Linked DNA regions of Elephas maximus indicus. The protein of the gene in region 2 purifies or fractionates together with the protein of the main gene of each other region. This does not show direct contact. Links are inferred from orthologs where the notes say so. Each region holds a gene or a part of one and is shown on either strand. Other genes may lie near its edges.

Region 1 (7,287 bases), on a different chromosome or scaffold from region 2:
AAAGAATGGGAATTCCAGAACACTTAATTGTGCTCAAGAGAAACCTGTACATAGATCAAGAGGCAGCTGTTCAAACAGAACAAGAGGATACTGTGCGGTTTAAAGTCAGGAAAGGTGTGTGTCAGGGCTATATCCTTTCACCATACCTATTCAACCTGTATACTGAGCAAATAATCTGAGAAGCTGGACTATATGAAGAAGAACTAGGCATCAGGATTGGAGGAAGACTTATTAATAACCTGCATTATGCAAATGATACAACCTTGCGTGCTGAAAGTGAAGAGGACTTGAAGCACTTACTGAAGTTCAAAGACCACAGCCTTCAGTATGGATTACACCTCAGCATAAAGAAAACAAAAATCCTCACTACTGGACCAATAAGCAACATCATGATAAACAGAGAAAAGACTGAAGTTGTCAAGGTTTTCATTTTACCTGGATCCACAATCAATGCTCATGGAAGCAGCAGTTAAGAAATCAAATGTGACACTACATTGGGCAAATCTGCTGCAAAAGACCTTGATAAAGTGTTAAAAAGCAAAGATGTCACCTTGAAGACTAAGGTGCGCCTGACCCAAATTACAGTGTTTTCAATCACTTCATATGCGTGTGGAAGCTGGACGATGAATAAGGAAGATCAGTGAAGAATTGATGCCTTTGAATTATGGTGTTGGCGAAGAATACAAAATATACCACAGACTGCCAAAAGAACGAACAAATCTGCCTTGGAAGAAGTACAACTGGAATGCTTCTCAGAAGGATGGCGAGACTACGTCTCACATACTTTGCACGTGTTATCAAGGGGGATCAGTCCCTAGAGAAGGACATCATGCTCGGTAGAGGGTTATCGAAAAAGAGGAAGACCCTCAACGATATGGGTTGTGTAGCCGCAATAATGCACTCAAGCATAACAATTGTGAGGATGGCGCAGGACCAGGCAGTGTTTTGTTTTGTTGTACACAGGGTTACTAAGAGTTGGAACCTAACAACGACAACATACTTGCTTTATTTGCTTTCTCAATTTTTCTATCCCTCTTCTGCTTTGATACATTTCAAAGTAAACTGCAAATATACCTTCACTTCCCCCTAAATTCAATATTAATATCATTAACTAAATTCTCAGGTGCACATTGTGTATTTCTTTCACAGCATTTATCACAACTCCAATTAAGGAATATTTGGTTTGTGTAACCATGCTTAACATCTGGCTCCCTGACTAGACCATAAGGTCCAAGAGAGCAGGGGTCTTCTGTCTTACTTAATCCTGCATTTCTGGTGTCTACTGCATAACAGATGCTCAAACAAGTATTAAATATTTAATGGGATTCTTTAAGTAGGGTCATTAGTTCATTTATTCATCAATTGTTACATCACATTTTGTCACCTCACTTCTCTTTTAGGGTGCATGCGTTGATTATAGTCTAACCTAGAGTCTTACATTTTAAATTAAGCAGTAGAACTGGACTAGGGTTGAGGATAACCCAGTTGCACTGGAAAACATAATTACATAAAGTTTATTGACTAGGCCTTTTTTGTGAGGCCAGCTGAGTAGAGGTGCTAACTAAGGCATGGCTGCTTGAACTAAAAAACTAAACCCATTGCTGTTGAGTCAATTCCGACTAACAGTGACCCTACTGGACACGGTAGAGCTGCCCCATAGTTTCCTAGGAGTACTCGGTGGATTTGAACTGCCGACCTTTCGGTTAGCAGCTATAGCTCTAACCACTATACCACCAGGGTTTCCATGGCCATTTGAGGAGGGCACTAATGAAAAGTTTGTATTGGCCATTGCAGTTTCCACCTCCAGATGTGAGAGATTATTCAGCAGTTTAAAACTAATTACCATAGGCACTATTTTCCATAGGAAGGCCCCTACAACTGAGTGATCTTGGCCAGGTCATCTCTATGAGCCTCAATTTTCTCATTTGTAGAACAAAGATGATCTCTTAAGTTTAGTCTCCCTTTGTTAACATTCTGCCAGGACATTATAGGCATTGTGGCTCTTAATCATTGTTCTATCACTCAGTAATTGTTTAAGTTTGACTAGGTTACTCTCTGAAGGAGCCCTGGTGGTGCTCTGGTTAAGCACGTGACTGCTAACCGAAAGGTTGGCAGTTTGAACTCACAAGCTGCACCACAGAACAAAGATGTGGCAGTCTGCTTCCATAAAGGTTAGAGCCTTGGGAACCCTATGGGGCAACAGGATTGCTATGAGTCAGAATCAGCTTGATGGCAATGGGTTTGGCTTTGGTTTTAGGTTACTCTCCATCAATTCATTTGGATTAAATGAGATTTCAAAAGCCTTCTAAACGATCTTCCTGTTTCTATTCACTACACAGTAGTCAGAGTAATCAGATTAAAATGGGTTCTAAACCCTGCAACGATTTCCCATCTCATTTAGAATAAAAGCCAGCAGTTTAAGGGGGCGCTGGTGGTTCTGTGGTAGAATTCTCGCTTTCCACGTAGGAGGCCTGGGTTCGATTCCCAGTCAATGCACCTCATGTGCAGCTACCACCCATCTGTCAGTAGAGGCTTTCATGTTGCTATGATGCTGAACAGGTTTCAGTGGAGCTTCCAGAGTAGGTAGCAGGACTAGAAGAAAGGCCTAGTGATCTACTTCCAAAAATCACTCATAGCGACCCTACAGGACCCACAGTTTCCAAGGAGCGGCAAGTGGATATGAACTGCTGACCTTCTGGTTAGCAGCCAAGCTTTTAACTACTGTGCCACCAGGGCTCCATAAAAATCCTATGCATCGCAATTGTCCAATCCCCAAATATTCTGTTTTGGGTCGGGGGCAAACCTGATGGTAGCTAAGAATAACAGTGGCCTACAAGGTCCTATGGAAACCCTGGTGGTGTAGTGGTTAAGTGCTATGGCTGTTAACCAAGAGGTCAGCAGTTCAAATCCACCAGGCGCTCCTTGGAAAGTCTATGGAGCAGTTCTACTCTGTCCTATAGGGTTGCTATGAGTTGGAATCGACCTGATGGCAGTGGGTTTGGTTTGGTTACAAGGTCCTATATGATCTCACTACTCTCCTTTCTCTCTCTGCTCCAGACACACTGACCTGTTTCTTGGATGCTCTGGGCACCCTGCCATCTCAGGTACATTCCCCTGCTTTTCCCTCTGTCTGGAATGCTCTTCCCCCACATATAGTATGGGCTGGCTCCCTTACCTCCTTCACATCTTTACTCAAACGCCATCTTTTCATTGAGGCCTACTCAGGCCACTTTACTTAAAATTACATCTTCATCCCCCCTTTTATTTTACTTCATAGCTCTTATTAATTTGTAACATATTATGAATGTAAGAATGAATACTGTTTGTAAACACATATAATACAATGCCAGCTATACTGTTCTCTGTACAAATTACATTCTCTTGTCTAGGCCAGTGGTCTGTGGTCTGAGGGGATAAAGCTTGAGGACTTAGGGTTCAGCATCTTTTAGGAAAATATGCCTTAATGCAATCCAGGACTAATACTCATTCCTCGACAATCTTTTACAGGATATCTAAGTGCCACGCGCTCTTGAATAGAAACATGAACAGTGTCACTTTGGTGCATTCATTCAACAAATATTTACTGGGCGCCTTGTCTGTGTCAGTTCTGACTGAAGACAGCTGCTACAAGCATTTCGGGATCACACAGTTCCATCCCTGAAAACCGAATCCCCAGATTGGGGACGGGGAGTGGGGGGAGCACGCCGGGAAACGCCGGGTCCCGCCAGCAGAGGGCGTACTCCAGCCCCCTACGCGGCCTCCGGTCCCACCAAGGCTCCAGGCTCCCACGCTCGCTCCCGTGCGCGCCCCCGCCCGCCGCGTCACGTGATGCGGCCGCGGAACCTGAGCTGTGGGGCCTAAACCGAGCTAATTTCGTTGCCGGTGGCCGCTGCGGGGGCAACCGTAAAGGCTAATCCGAAGGTGTGAGGGAGGCTCGTGGAGTCGATGCTTCCTCAACCACGTCAGGTCGGCTCCCGTTACCTTTTCACCATTCGCTGCTCTGGTCGCCCTGAGCGTTTGCATGAGCTCTTTCGTGTGGAGAAGCTCCGGTGACCATGTAGGCGGAAAGAGTAAGGAAGCTCCCGGTGCCTGGTCCAAGGTCAGCGCTGTCGGCACGCCGCTCCCGCGCCCACCACACCCTCGGTGCGGGGCCCATCGGCCGGTTGGCTCTGGTGGGAACTCCGGCCTCCAGTTGTGGCCTGGTCCAGCGCCCCACGAAATCTCGCGCTGTCTCGCGAGAGTGTAAGTTGAAGGAACATGGCGACGTCTAACCTGTTAAAGGTAAGACTCTCAATGCAGCCTGGCTTTTACTCTGTGACTGCCGGGTTCAGCTCTTCAGATAGGCTAGGTTCAGGTTCAGCAACGAGATGTGTGAGTGTCCAGGGGCTGCCCACCGGAAGGGAATCAGCTGCGACTGCCGCAGAGGAGCGGAACGCGGGTGCCTGGCCTTGCGGCCGAGAGGCTCTGGTTGTCCCTCCCGCCGGTTGCCCGGCGTGTGAAAGGCCCGGCTGCGGGCTGACGGGGAGCGGTGCTTGTAAGGGACCAGCTCTGGCCGGGAGGCTGAATGCTCGTACTGTGGCCTGAGGGATTGGGCCGTTAGTACTCGTGGGGTCTCAGTTTCTTCTGAAGCAAGAGTCTAAGACGAATAAAAAGAAAATCAGTAAAATGCTGCCTAACAGGTTTCAATGACCAGACCCCCATCTCCTCAATCCCTGTTTTCCTCATTTGTACGAAATTCCAAGTCAGACCGAGCAGTGCCTCCAACCCCACCCCCTTCCTCCCTCCCTTTTCCGCACGACGCACCTTCCCTCCTACCTCCCAGGCCCCTACCTCCTCTTCTTGAATTCTTGTTTTTCCTTAAGAAACTGCTCCCCCCTCCACTCACTCACCCCCGCCCCCATTACAGCACCCAACCAAATGACAGCTGATGAAGTGCTACCATCGTTTTAGGGCTTAGGAAAGTTACCTTATCAAAACGTTTAGTTTTATGTGTTTGGGATGGCAAGGTAGATCTAGGCCCAGAGGGACAGGTGCTCTACCGTCAGTTAAAAAGTTTGAAAGAGAATGAGGAAGACATGGTACTAATTCGTTCTGTGTTTGTGTTTATAGTTAGGAAACTTTTCCTTAAAAGCATTGACTGAAATGTGGATAGTGATCTGCTCAGGAAACATAAAAACAAAGGATAAACTGTTCCTCCCTCAGACCCATTATTATGCCTTCAGGCAGTGTGGATGGATAATAGAAAATAATATTAAAATATACCGGATGCTCACCTTTATGTCTTCTTTAGGCCACTGATACTGATTGCTTAATAGGTGAAACTGTCCTATAAAATGAAAACCTAATTTTACGAACTTAACAGGCAGTGTCTTGCCTTTTAAACTCGACTGCCTGAATTTCTGCAACTTACAAGCTGTATGGCTTTGGGGTAGTTTCTTAAGCCTGACTTATCAGTGAAAGGAGGTTATCAATAGCACCTATTTCATAGGAACATTGTGAAGATTAAATGAATTAATGTATGTAAAATGCTTTAAACAGTACCTGACACTTAATTCGTATACCCGTACCCGTTGACATCCAGTCAGTTCTGACTCATAGCAATAGTATAGGACAGAGTAGAACTGCTCCATAGAGTTTCCAAGGAGCGGCCGGTGGATTTGAACTGCCCGCCTTTTTGGTTAGCAGCCCAGCTCTTAACCACTACGCCAAACCAAAAAAACCAAACCCGCTGCCGTCTAGTTTATTCCGACTCATAGCAACCTTGTAGGACAGAATGGAACTGCCCCATAGGGTTTCCAGGGAGTACCTGGTGGATTCGAACTGTTGACCTTTTGGTTAGCAGCTGTAGCTCTTAACCACTGCGCCATCTGTTTCCACCACTACCCAAAAAAAAACACATAAATTACTGGAACTATTTCTCCATCTGTCCCGTTTCTTTAAGAACTAATTTACAGGAGTTGAGCATCCCATCCTACTCTGCTTTCTTTTTCTAACAGATGGTATAGCAGAGTTGTAATGTATTAGTCCAGAAAGAAATTCGTTAACTTCTGAAGACTATTGTTAATGCGTCAGTGTTTACTAGCAGTAGTGTATGTTATTAATCAAAATGTGTTTAAGAAATAATTGGGTTCCTACCTTGTGAAGTTTTTGACCTGTTGATTACCTGAATATGAGGCAAGCTCTCCTCCTTGCCCCCCCATACTCAAAAGAGTATTGTTTGAAGGAGATATAAAAAGTATTGTTTGGAGGAGATACAAATCTGAAGCTACTTTAAGTCAAAGTTAGTAAATGGTTACCATGTAGAGATTATGGATCTACATCTATGGGATACACATATAGAATGGAAAAACTGCCGTAACGTATGCAAAGTGGACATTTAGGCTTAGGTTAAAAGATCACAAGACTTCAAAAAGTGCTACAGTTCAAACAGCTTGTAAATAAAAGGAAGTTAACATGGTTTGAAGAAAACTGTTAGGGGGCTCAATCACTCTAGTGAACATGAAGACACAGATGCCAAAGATACATTGGAAAAATGTCAATAAAATTACTTTATAAAATGTTGACTAGGAAAAAAGCAGAATTTCTATATGAATATTATTTTATATGGTATGTGATGTAAAATCTGTATAACTAACTTACTATGATAGGTATTGTAAATAGACATTTGATTCTTTTATCTATATCCACAAAAGTTTATGTACTCAAGTTGGCCTGAAAACCTTTTTTTCCCTCTCCTCATTGGGAGATAGGGGGGATAGTCATATATTAAAAAGTAGATAATCATAAAATAGGAAGACTGAGAAGTTTATCTTTTTGGAGAAATGTAGTGAGACCCTGTCAGATAGATCTATAACATAATTCTTAGGAAACTTATATTCCTAAGTTTAATAGAGACAGGGCTGGCTAGGGAGTGATCAAATTAAAATTAGCCTCATTTTCTTTTTTGACAGGATTAATAGGCTTGTAGAATTCTCAGGAATGCCCAGTTTGGTTCCTGGCCAGTATACCTTAAGCACAGCCACCACCTATATGTCAGTGGAAGCTTGTGTGTTACTATGATGCTGAACAGGTTTCTGTGGCACTTCCAGACTAAGATAGACTAGGAAGAAAGGTCTGGCAATCTATTTCAGAAAATCAGTGAAGACCCTGTAGATCACAGTGGTCCCATCCTGTTGTACACGGGGTCACGACAAGTTGGGGGCCGACTCGATAGCAGCTAACAACAACTTTAGAGAAATGCCCTAGACATTGTGTAATTAGGCTTCACCAGGACATGTTTGAGACAAT
Region 2 (7,028 bases):
ATAGCTGATGTTGGGGTTCCAAATGGAATCTGGACATTTATATTCTCCACACAACATGCTGGCTCCTAACAGCAGTCAACCAAACGTTTGTACACAAATACCTAGCTCTTCTTCAATTCATCAGAAAAAGCCCCTGGACCAAAAAATGTAATTCTCCAGTGCCCTGAACTAAGCTTCTTTGCAGAGCTACAGCCCAATTTGCTCTGCGGCAGACATCTGTATTGTGCTCAATATGAAGGTTGGTGACAGAGCAACCAATGACCATTAAATTCTGCTTCCAAAGGCAAAAAACCGTATAATGTTATATGCCTTTTCCTCTTCCTAATCTATTAGACGTAGCAGCTAATTTCACGTCACACCTCATATTTGGAGTCTCTAGAATCCTAGACCAAGTCCTGGTCAATATGGAACAAAGGCAATGCAAACCACAAGAAAATTAGCAATCTAACCTATGTCATTACCCATAGCTTCAATCCCATCCTCCCCCGATCTGATGAAAATTTCATCCCCACTGGCGAGTGGAGCATCAAATGCAGAGCCTACCACAAAAAAGCTATTGCAGCAGCCACACACTTTTCAAGACCTGAGCTCCCAGCATGAGTTCAGTGGGAGGCAAATGCAGAAATACTGGCCTACCTGAACCGGCAACAAGCATCGACCTACCGATTTCTTTAGGGAGTTTGAGTTTGGTCTGACACCCAGAATGAGCCCAGGGCACAGTTGTTCAGAAGGAGCAACAGAGGCAAATCAACCCCACACCTTCCTCCTGGAGGACCCAAGTTCCCTTGAAAAGAGAATTTCATGGATGAGTGATTCCCAGTCCAGGTCATACTTCTGGGGAGGATCAACTGGGAGGTTTTTTTTTTTTTTAATTCAAATTCTTGAGCCCTAGACATACTGATCTCATAAAGTCCCCCCCCCCAAGTGATTCTACTGCACAGTAAGGTTATCAATTTATTCATCCTGTTATTTAGCCCGGGCTTGTGGCTGCCAAGACATCTCGGGAATCTATCACATAAGCCACACCAACACCAATTCAAATCTAAGAACCCATCCAAAAGCACAAACCACAATGGCAGTTACCACAAGGGAAGTCTCATTTCATCGACACAAAAGTTGACAGCTTTCTAAACCAATACTGGATGTGTGAGAACAGTCCACGCTTCAGAAACACAGGAAAACAAGCAGCTCAATGTCTAAGTCTGGAATTTTCATCAATTGCCCTAGAGCTGACGTACTAATGTCTATACCTCATACTGAGAGTTCTCACATGGGCTTGAGAACAAACCTATTCTCTATTCTCACAGACACTGGTCAGCACACAAAAGCCTGGGACAGCCAGAAAGCATTAACTTTGAGTAGAGATGCCCAACTGATTACTGGCCCACAACTGCCCAAGTTCATCCCCTCATCTGTATGCATGAGTGAGGAAGGGGGTGAAGTGCTGGTACACAGACAGAATAACAAGCAAGGCGGTCAACATGCAACACCAGCTTTCTGCCCCAAAGGCCAAACGTTTACAGCAACCTCCCTACCAGGGGTAATTGTAATACCCAATTTGGAAAAGCAAAAAAGAAAAAGAAACGGGGTGGGTGCATGGTTTCAAGTCATCTCCAGACTCAAACCTTGCTAGTCAGTTGAGAAACATCATGAGGTGTGAACTCAAGGGTTAAAGTTGTTCCCACAATTTCCACCAGTTCCAAAGGGACCTAATGGAAGCTGTCACCATCTTCAGCCCTAAGTCTCTGCCACCTCCAGAACACCAAATCTTACGAATTGGCAGAGCGCCTGTTAGCAGTAGAAAAAAAGAGGAAATGAAACAAGAAAAGGAAGTTTGTCAGCCAGTTCCCCATGCGGTCTCACCTCCCCGCGTCCAGCTCCCGGCCCGCAGAGCCACCCATGTCTGTCAGGCTCGCAGCTGAAGCAGCCAGCTCTCCAGAAGGCCTCTTGCCGGTCCCATCACCACTGCCGGATCCACCGTTGCAGCTCTTCGTACGAAAGAGGCGACTGAGACGGATTTTGAGGGAGCCCTTCCGAGAAGGACCCGCGAGTGGCCGGAGGGGCCCCGGAGGCGGCGGGGGCGGGAGAGGTTGCTGCGGCTGCTCCCCTCTACTCAAGCGCGCTCGGGGAACCAAGTCCTGCAGCGGGAAGGGTACGGCGGGTAATTCGGGGCCTGGGGGCTGCAGCAGAAGCCGGCCGCCCCCTCCTCCTCCGCGGCCCGGGCTGCTGAGCTCCTCTTCCGAGCAGCTGTTAGTCTCCAGGCTCTCGGCCTCGGATTCCAAGCCCTCCAAGACCAGCAGCGCGTCGCTCGTCTCCGTGGGGTCCTCCCCGGCCTGCGGGGTGGCAGCAGGCGGCTGAGGCTGCGGAGGGGGCGGCTGCGCGGGGCACGGGCACGGGCAGCAACCCGCACCGACCATCTTGACCCCCGGCCCCGCCGGTTGCCCGAGCCCCAGAGCCGCCAACTGTGCCTCTAGTCCAGCCGCCGGGCCCCAGGTCCGCTCGTGCGCCAGCCCCGACGGCAGGGCCTTGGGGTCCAGAGCACAGCGGTGCCGGGGGCACAGCAGTTCCGAGGGTCCGGGCTCCGGGGCCGCCTCCGCGTCCTCCTCCTCCGGCGGCCGACCCACGTTGCGGAACACCATCAGCTGCGGTGGCCGGGAGCCCCGCGGGCCCGGCCGCGCGAGGAAAGGTGGTGGCTGGGGGCCATGGCCGGGGGGCGGCGGCGGCGGGCCTGGCTCCGGGGCCGCCTCTCCATAGCCGAGCAGGCGGCTCAGGACGCGGTACGAAGCGGCCGCCGCCGCCTCGCCATCCCGGAGCTCGGCCCCCTGCATCGGGGAGAGGGAGGGAGGGCGGGCGGCTGGGAGCCGGGCTGGGGTGGGGACTAGGCCGGGCCCCGCCGGAGCCCCGCCCGCCGCGGCCCCCGGAGAGACAGCGCGAACGGCCGCCGCGGCCTCTGCCTCATAGAGGGGGGCGGGGGGCGCGCGGAGCGCAGCGCGAGCCCAGGACGCGCGCCGCCGCCGCCGCCACCGAGGACCGCCCCCCGATGGCGTCACTTCCGGGAGGCCGTGGGCACGCCTTTTTCCTCGAGGGCGTGCTCGCGTCGCCTCCACGGCGCGTGACGTTGCGGGCGACCCGGGCCGCTATTGGACGTGAGCTGCCTCCATGCTGGCTGTTGGTCGTCTGCTTCGACCCTTGCTTTTCACTTCCCGGGTGCTGGGGCTCTGCCTAGCCCTCTCAGTAAGGTGCAGCGGCCCTGCAAGGCTGGTCTGGTCACGGCAGAGAGCCGCTGGCCTTGGGAACACCTCTGGTTCTGGTCTAGCCTATGTCGCTTGTGATGTATGACCTTGGCCGAGTCACTTCATCGTAAATTTGTTTCCCCGTTCCCTCACTCCTCACCCCTGGCCGCCAATGAATATTTGTTGAATGATAACATGAATATATGTGTTCTAGACCCAGGGGTGTGCTGATCATGTTCAATAACCGGTTCTCTGGTGGAGGAGTGTATGCATACAAAGGTATATAAGTTCATCATAAATTTTACTGATATAAAGGATGTGTGGTATAAAATTGAGAAATAACATACAATTGCAATGGGTAACCAACCTATGGTTGCAGTTGATCAAGGAGTATAGTTGTAGCGTGAATGCTGGTTGACATTTTCTTCTGTGTTAATGGAAGTGGAGAAAAAAATGACTGGATTGTCAGTGATGGGAGCCGCCTTGCTGAATCAGAAAGCAAGGGTTCAAATACAGGAGGAAGATTTCCTCAATTTCTGTGCCATTCACAATGTAACAGCTACCATATGACATTATGTTTAAATTTAACATGACATTATGTTTAAATTCAGTATGATACTGTGTTTAAATCTGAATGATTAATAGTTTCTCCATCCTTTGCTTCAATCTAGATAATCAACAAAACAATAAATCAAGCTCGATTTGTATCTCTGTTTGATTTCCCTGGTATAAATACGCCCACCGTGGCTGCTTTTGAGCTACCAGCTTGACTTTTTTGAACAGAGTTAGGAAGAAATGAGCAAATAGCATACCATTATATAATAGTGCCACCATACAACGGATATAAATAACCCCAAAGCATAGATAATAGTAAAATAATTAGTAAGTGGTGAGTTTTGAGAATTTATCATCTTTATTTTTTAATTTAATTTATTTCATTGTAATTTTATATAATTTTATAGTGGCTATGTTTAACAACCAGCTTGAAGAATTTCTGAAAATTTAACAGTTGGCTTTCATGAAATGCTACAGGCTGGTTCCCGAACACCACCAGGCTTCAATTTCCTCATCGGTAAAACAGATAAAGATTGCTGTTTTGCTTACTTGCAGGAATGTTACAAGGATTAAGGAAGATCAAGCTTGTTGGGTAAAGGAGGTGGGACTGGAGGCAGGGAGAGCAGTCAGGAATCCACTGCACTTGTCCCAGTGAGAGATGAAGAGGAGTGCAAGCAGGCAGGAAGGATCAGCAGAATTTAGCAACTTAAGTACCTGGGGGCGCAGCAAGGGGAAGAGGGTTGAGTCCTGCAGCGAGAGGGACACTTTCAAAATGAAAATTTATTCATACCCCTTGATTACAACAGTTCCTGTTTTCCCATTGCTCTTAGGATAAAGACAAAACTCCTTAAATCGGCCTACAGGGCCCTGTGTGGCCCCTGCCTCTTTCTCGCCATGTCTCCCACCAAGCTCCCCCTTGTTATCTCTCTCCTGCAGTCCCACCAACCTTGTGTCGGGCTCCCAGGCGTATGGCCACTGCGCAAGCTGTTCCCTTTTCTTGGAAGGTTTTTCTCTCTTTTTGCTTAGTCACCTCCCATTCATTCTTCAGATTGAACTCCCTTCTTACTTCTTCAGGGAAATCCTGCCTGGGCACTTCCTCCTCACCAAGCTCAGAGACCATTCCTTTGTCGCATTTAATTGCACAGGTGTAATTTGTCATTAAGGAGCCCTGGTGATGCAATGGTTAAAGGGCTCAGCTGCTAACCAAAAGGTCAGAGGTTGGAACCCACCAGCCAATCCACAGAAGAAAAGACCTGGCGATCTGTTTCAGTAAAGACTACAGCCTAGGAAACCCTATGGGTCAGTTGTACTCTGTTCTATAGGGTCAATATGAGTCAGAATCGATTCAAAGGCACACCACAACAATTTATTTTCTTTCCATGGGGTTGTTTGATGAGAGTCTGTCTTCCTTATGAAGCTATATGCTCCATGAGGGCAAGGGCCATATTTGTTTTTTGCCCATCATGGAGCCTTTGGTGTCAAAGACGGTGCCTGGCGCAGATTAGGCCGTTGATAGGTAAGTATGGAGCTGTTGTTCAACTTCAGGCATTGCAAAAGGCTCCTGATACAAATTCATGTCTAATTCTGCACAACAGAATATCTTTCCGTGCACATGAAGAAACTGAAGTTCAAAGAGTTACTTACCTAAGGTCAAACAAAAAAAAAGGTGCAGTAAAATTCAAAACCAGCTCTGCCTGACTCTGACTCCACAGATTTCATTCTCTACCCTCCCTCCCCTGCTACCTGTCAGGTGTTACTTAGGTTTCTAGCAGAAAAGAAGAGCAACTGCTGTAGGATCTCAGAACCCCTGAAGCCTAAGAGGCTACCTAAGATCCCGGACTGTCTCTGGGAAGCTCTGGCCCAAGAACAGAATCCCTGACAAAAGGCAAGGTTTCTGGCTCTGCACCGCCCTCTCCTGTCCAACTGCTTCCCTGGCCGCAGAAGAAAGCTATGTCCACCACCTTCACTTGCACCACCAGGGAACACACACGGGCTCTTTCAAAGGCTGAGTAAAGAATGCGGCATTTCTCATTTCCTTAATTTTCCAGCCTGTAGCCCAGGTCCTGGGAAAAGCATTGAAAATTAAGCTCTAAGCAAAGGAAGTGTATTTTTGTGCTTTATGACTTAAATGTGTGTTTGTTATGTCTATACATACCACTTTCATTAAGGGCTGTAAAGTGGTCCCAGCAGCGGTAGGATCCTAGTCAGAAAGATGCGTGAAAAACAACTTAGAGAATCTAAAGAAGTTCTGAGGTTCATTCAGTCAGTCAACGTTCATTGAGCACCTACAGTGCCCAGTGGGCTATGGTTTGTGGGTGCAGTGATAAGTGAGATGGACACTGTCTCTGCTTTTCTGGAGCTTGCACAGTCTAGTTTGAGTCCTAATCATGCCATTTCCTGGATGTATAACCAAGAGCAAATAATTAAACATCTTTGTATCTGTGTTTCCTTTGTAACAGTGGTTCAGTAATAGTCCCCCCCGCCCTTACAGGGCTGTTGGGATTAAATGAAAAATTATATGTAAAGGTGCTTAACAAATGCTAAAACACCATACATATGGTCATGATTACGGTAAACCTGTGAAAGCTGTAACCTGTGTAAGGTGGAAACCAGTCAGAGAAGGAAAACTCAAATATTTTCCACTAAAACAAGGGATAGAAAAGTGGCAAGACTGCACCCTGTCAAAGGTGGAAAACTTTCAAGACCCGGAAAAAACAAGGCAGTCCCATCAAGTTCCAGCTCTCACAAATTTCACTATATTATGAAAAGCTTTTGGGAGGGGGAAATCGTGTTAACTTAGTGTGATATCTTCACCCAGTGTTTTGTTGACCCTCAACTACCAATAAGCAGTAATAGCAGGAAGGTAGACTGGGTCACTGAATCCTCTTCATCCCTTGTCTCTGTTAGACACAGAATCAGAGACGTCAAGGAAGATCCCCAGCGTGCCAGTCACTAGCTTTGTGGGATGTCACCTTCCTCTCAGGGTTTTAGTTTCCTTTCTATTAGAAAAAGGCCTGGACTGTGGGCCCTTCTAGTTCTGACATAGCAGGGATTCTCCTGGGGGCTTGACCTCTAACCCCAGCCCTTATCCTCACACTTAGGATTCCACAGCAGAACTGTTGTTTGCAGAGGCCATCTATAAAGCATGAGAAGTTTTCAGCAACACCATCCATTCCTTCCTACATGCACTCAGTGATCTGGATATCAAAGGGTGGGGGAAGTAGAAGAGAACTCAGGAGT

Evidence for each region. The genes of interacting proteins can lie anywhere in the genome.
Region 1: the proteins of SOCS7 (region 2) and CUL5 purify together in Homo sapiens (affinity purification with mass spectrometry; 4 studies listed by BioGRID and IntAct, counting the BioPlex papers as one, with this or other methods). This does not show direct contact. The link is inferred for Elephas maximus indicus from reciprocal best matches to the Homo sapiens genes SOCS7 and CUL5.

What each region holds. Positions count from the first base shown.
Region 1 is NC_064825.1:11,657,342-11,664,628, reverse strand, and holds the start of CUL5 (cullin-5), read left to right. Parts: upstream 1-4,191; 5' UTR 4,192-4,257; coding exon 4,258-4,281; intron 4,282-7,287. UniProt on the Homo sapiens protein: Core component of multiple cullin-5-RING E3 ubiquitin-protein ligase complexes (ECS complexes, also named CRL5 complexes), which mediate the ubiquitination and subsequent proteasomal degradation of target proteins.
Region 2 is NC_064837.1:45,971,197-45,978,224, reverse strand, and holds the start of SOCS7 (suppressor of cytokine signaling 7), read right to left. Parts: upstream 3,033-7,028; 5' UTR 2,829-3,032; coding exon 1,864-2,828; intron 1-1,863. UniProt on the Homo sapiens protein: Substrate-recognition component of a cullin-5-RING E3 ubiquitin-protein ligase complex (ECS complex, also named CRL5 complex), which mediates the ubiquitination and subsequent proteasomal degradation of target proteins, such as DAB1 and IRS1.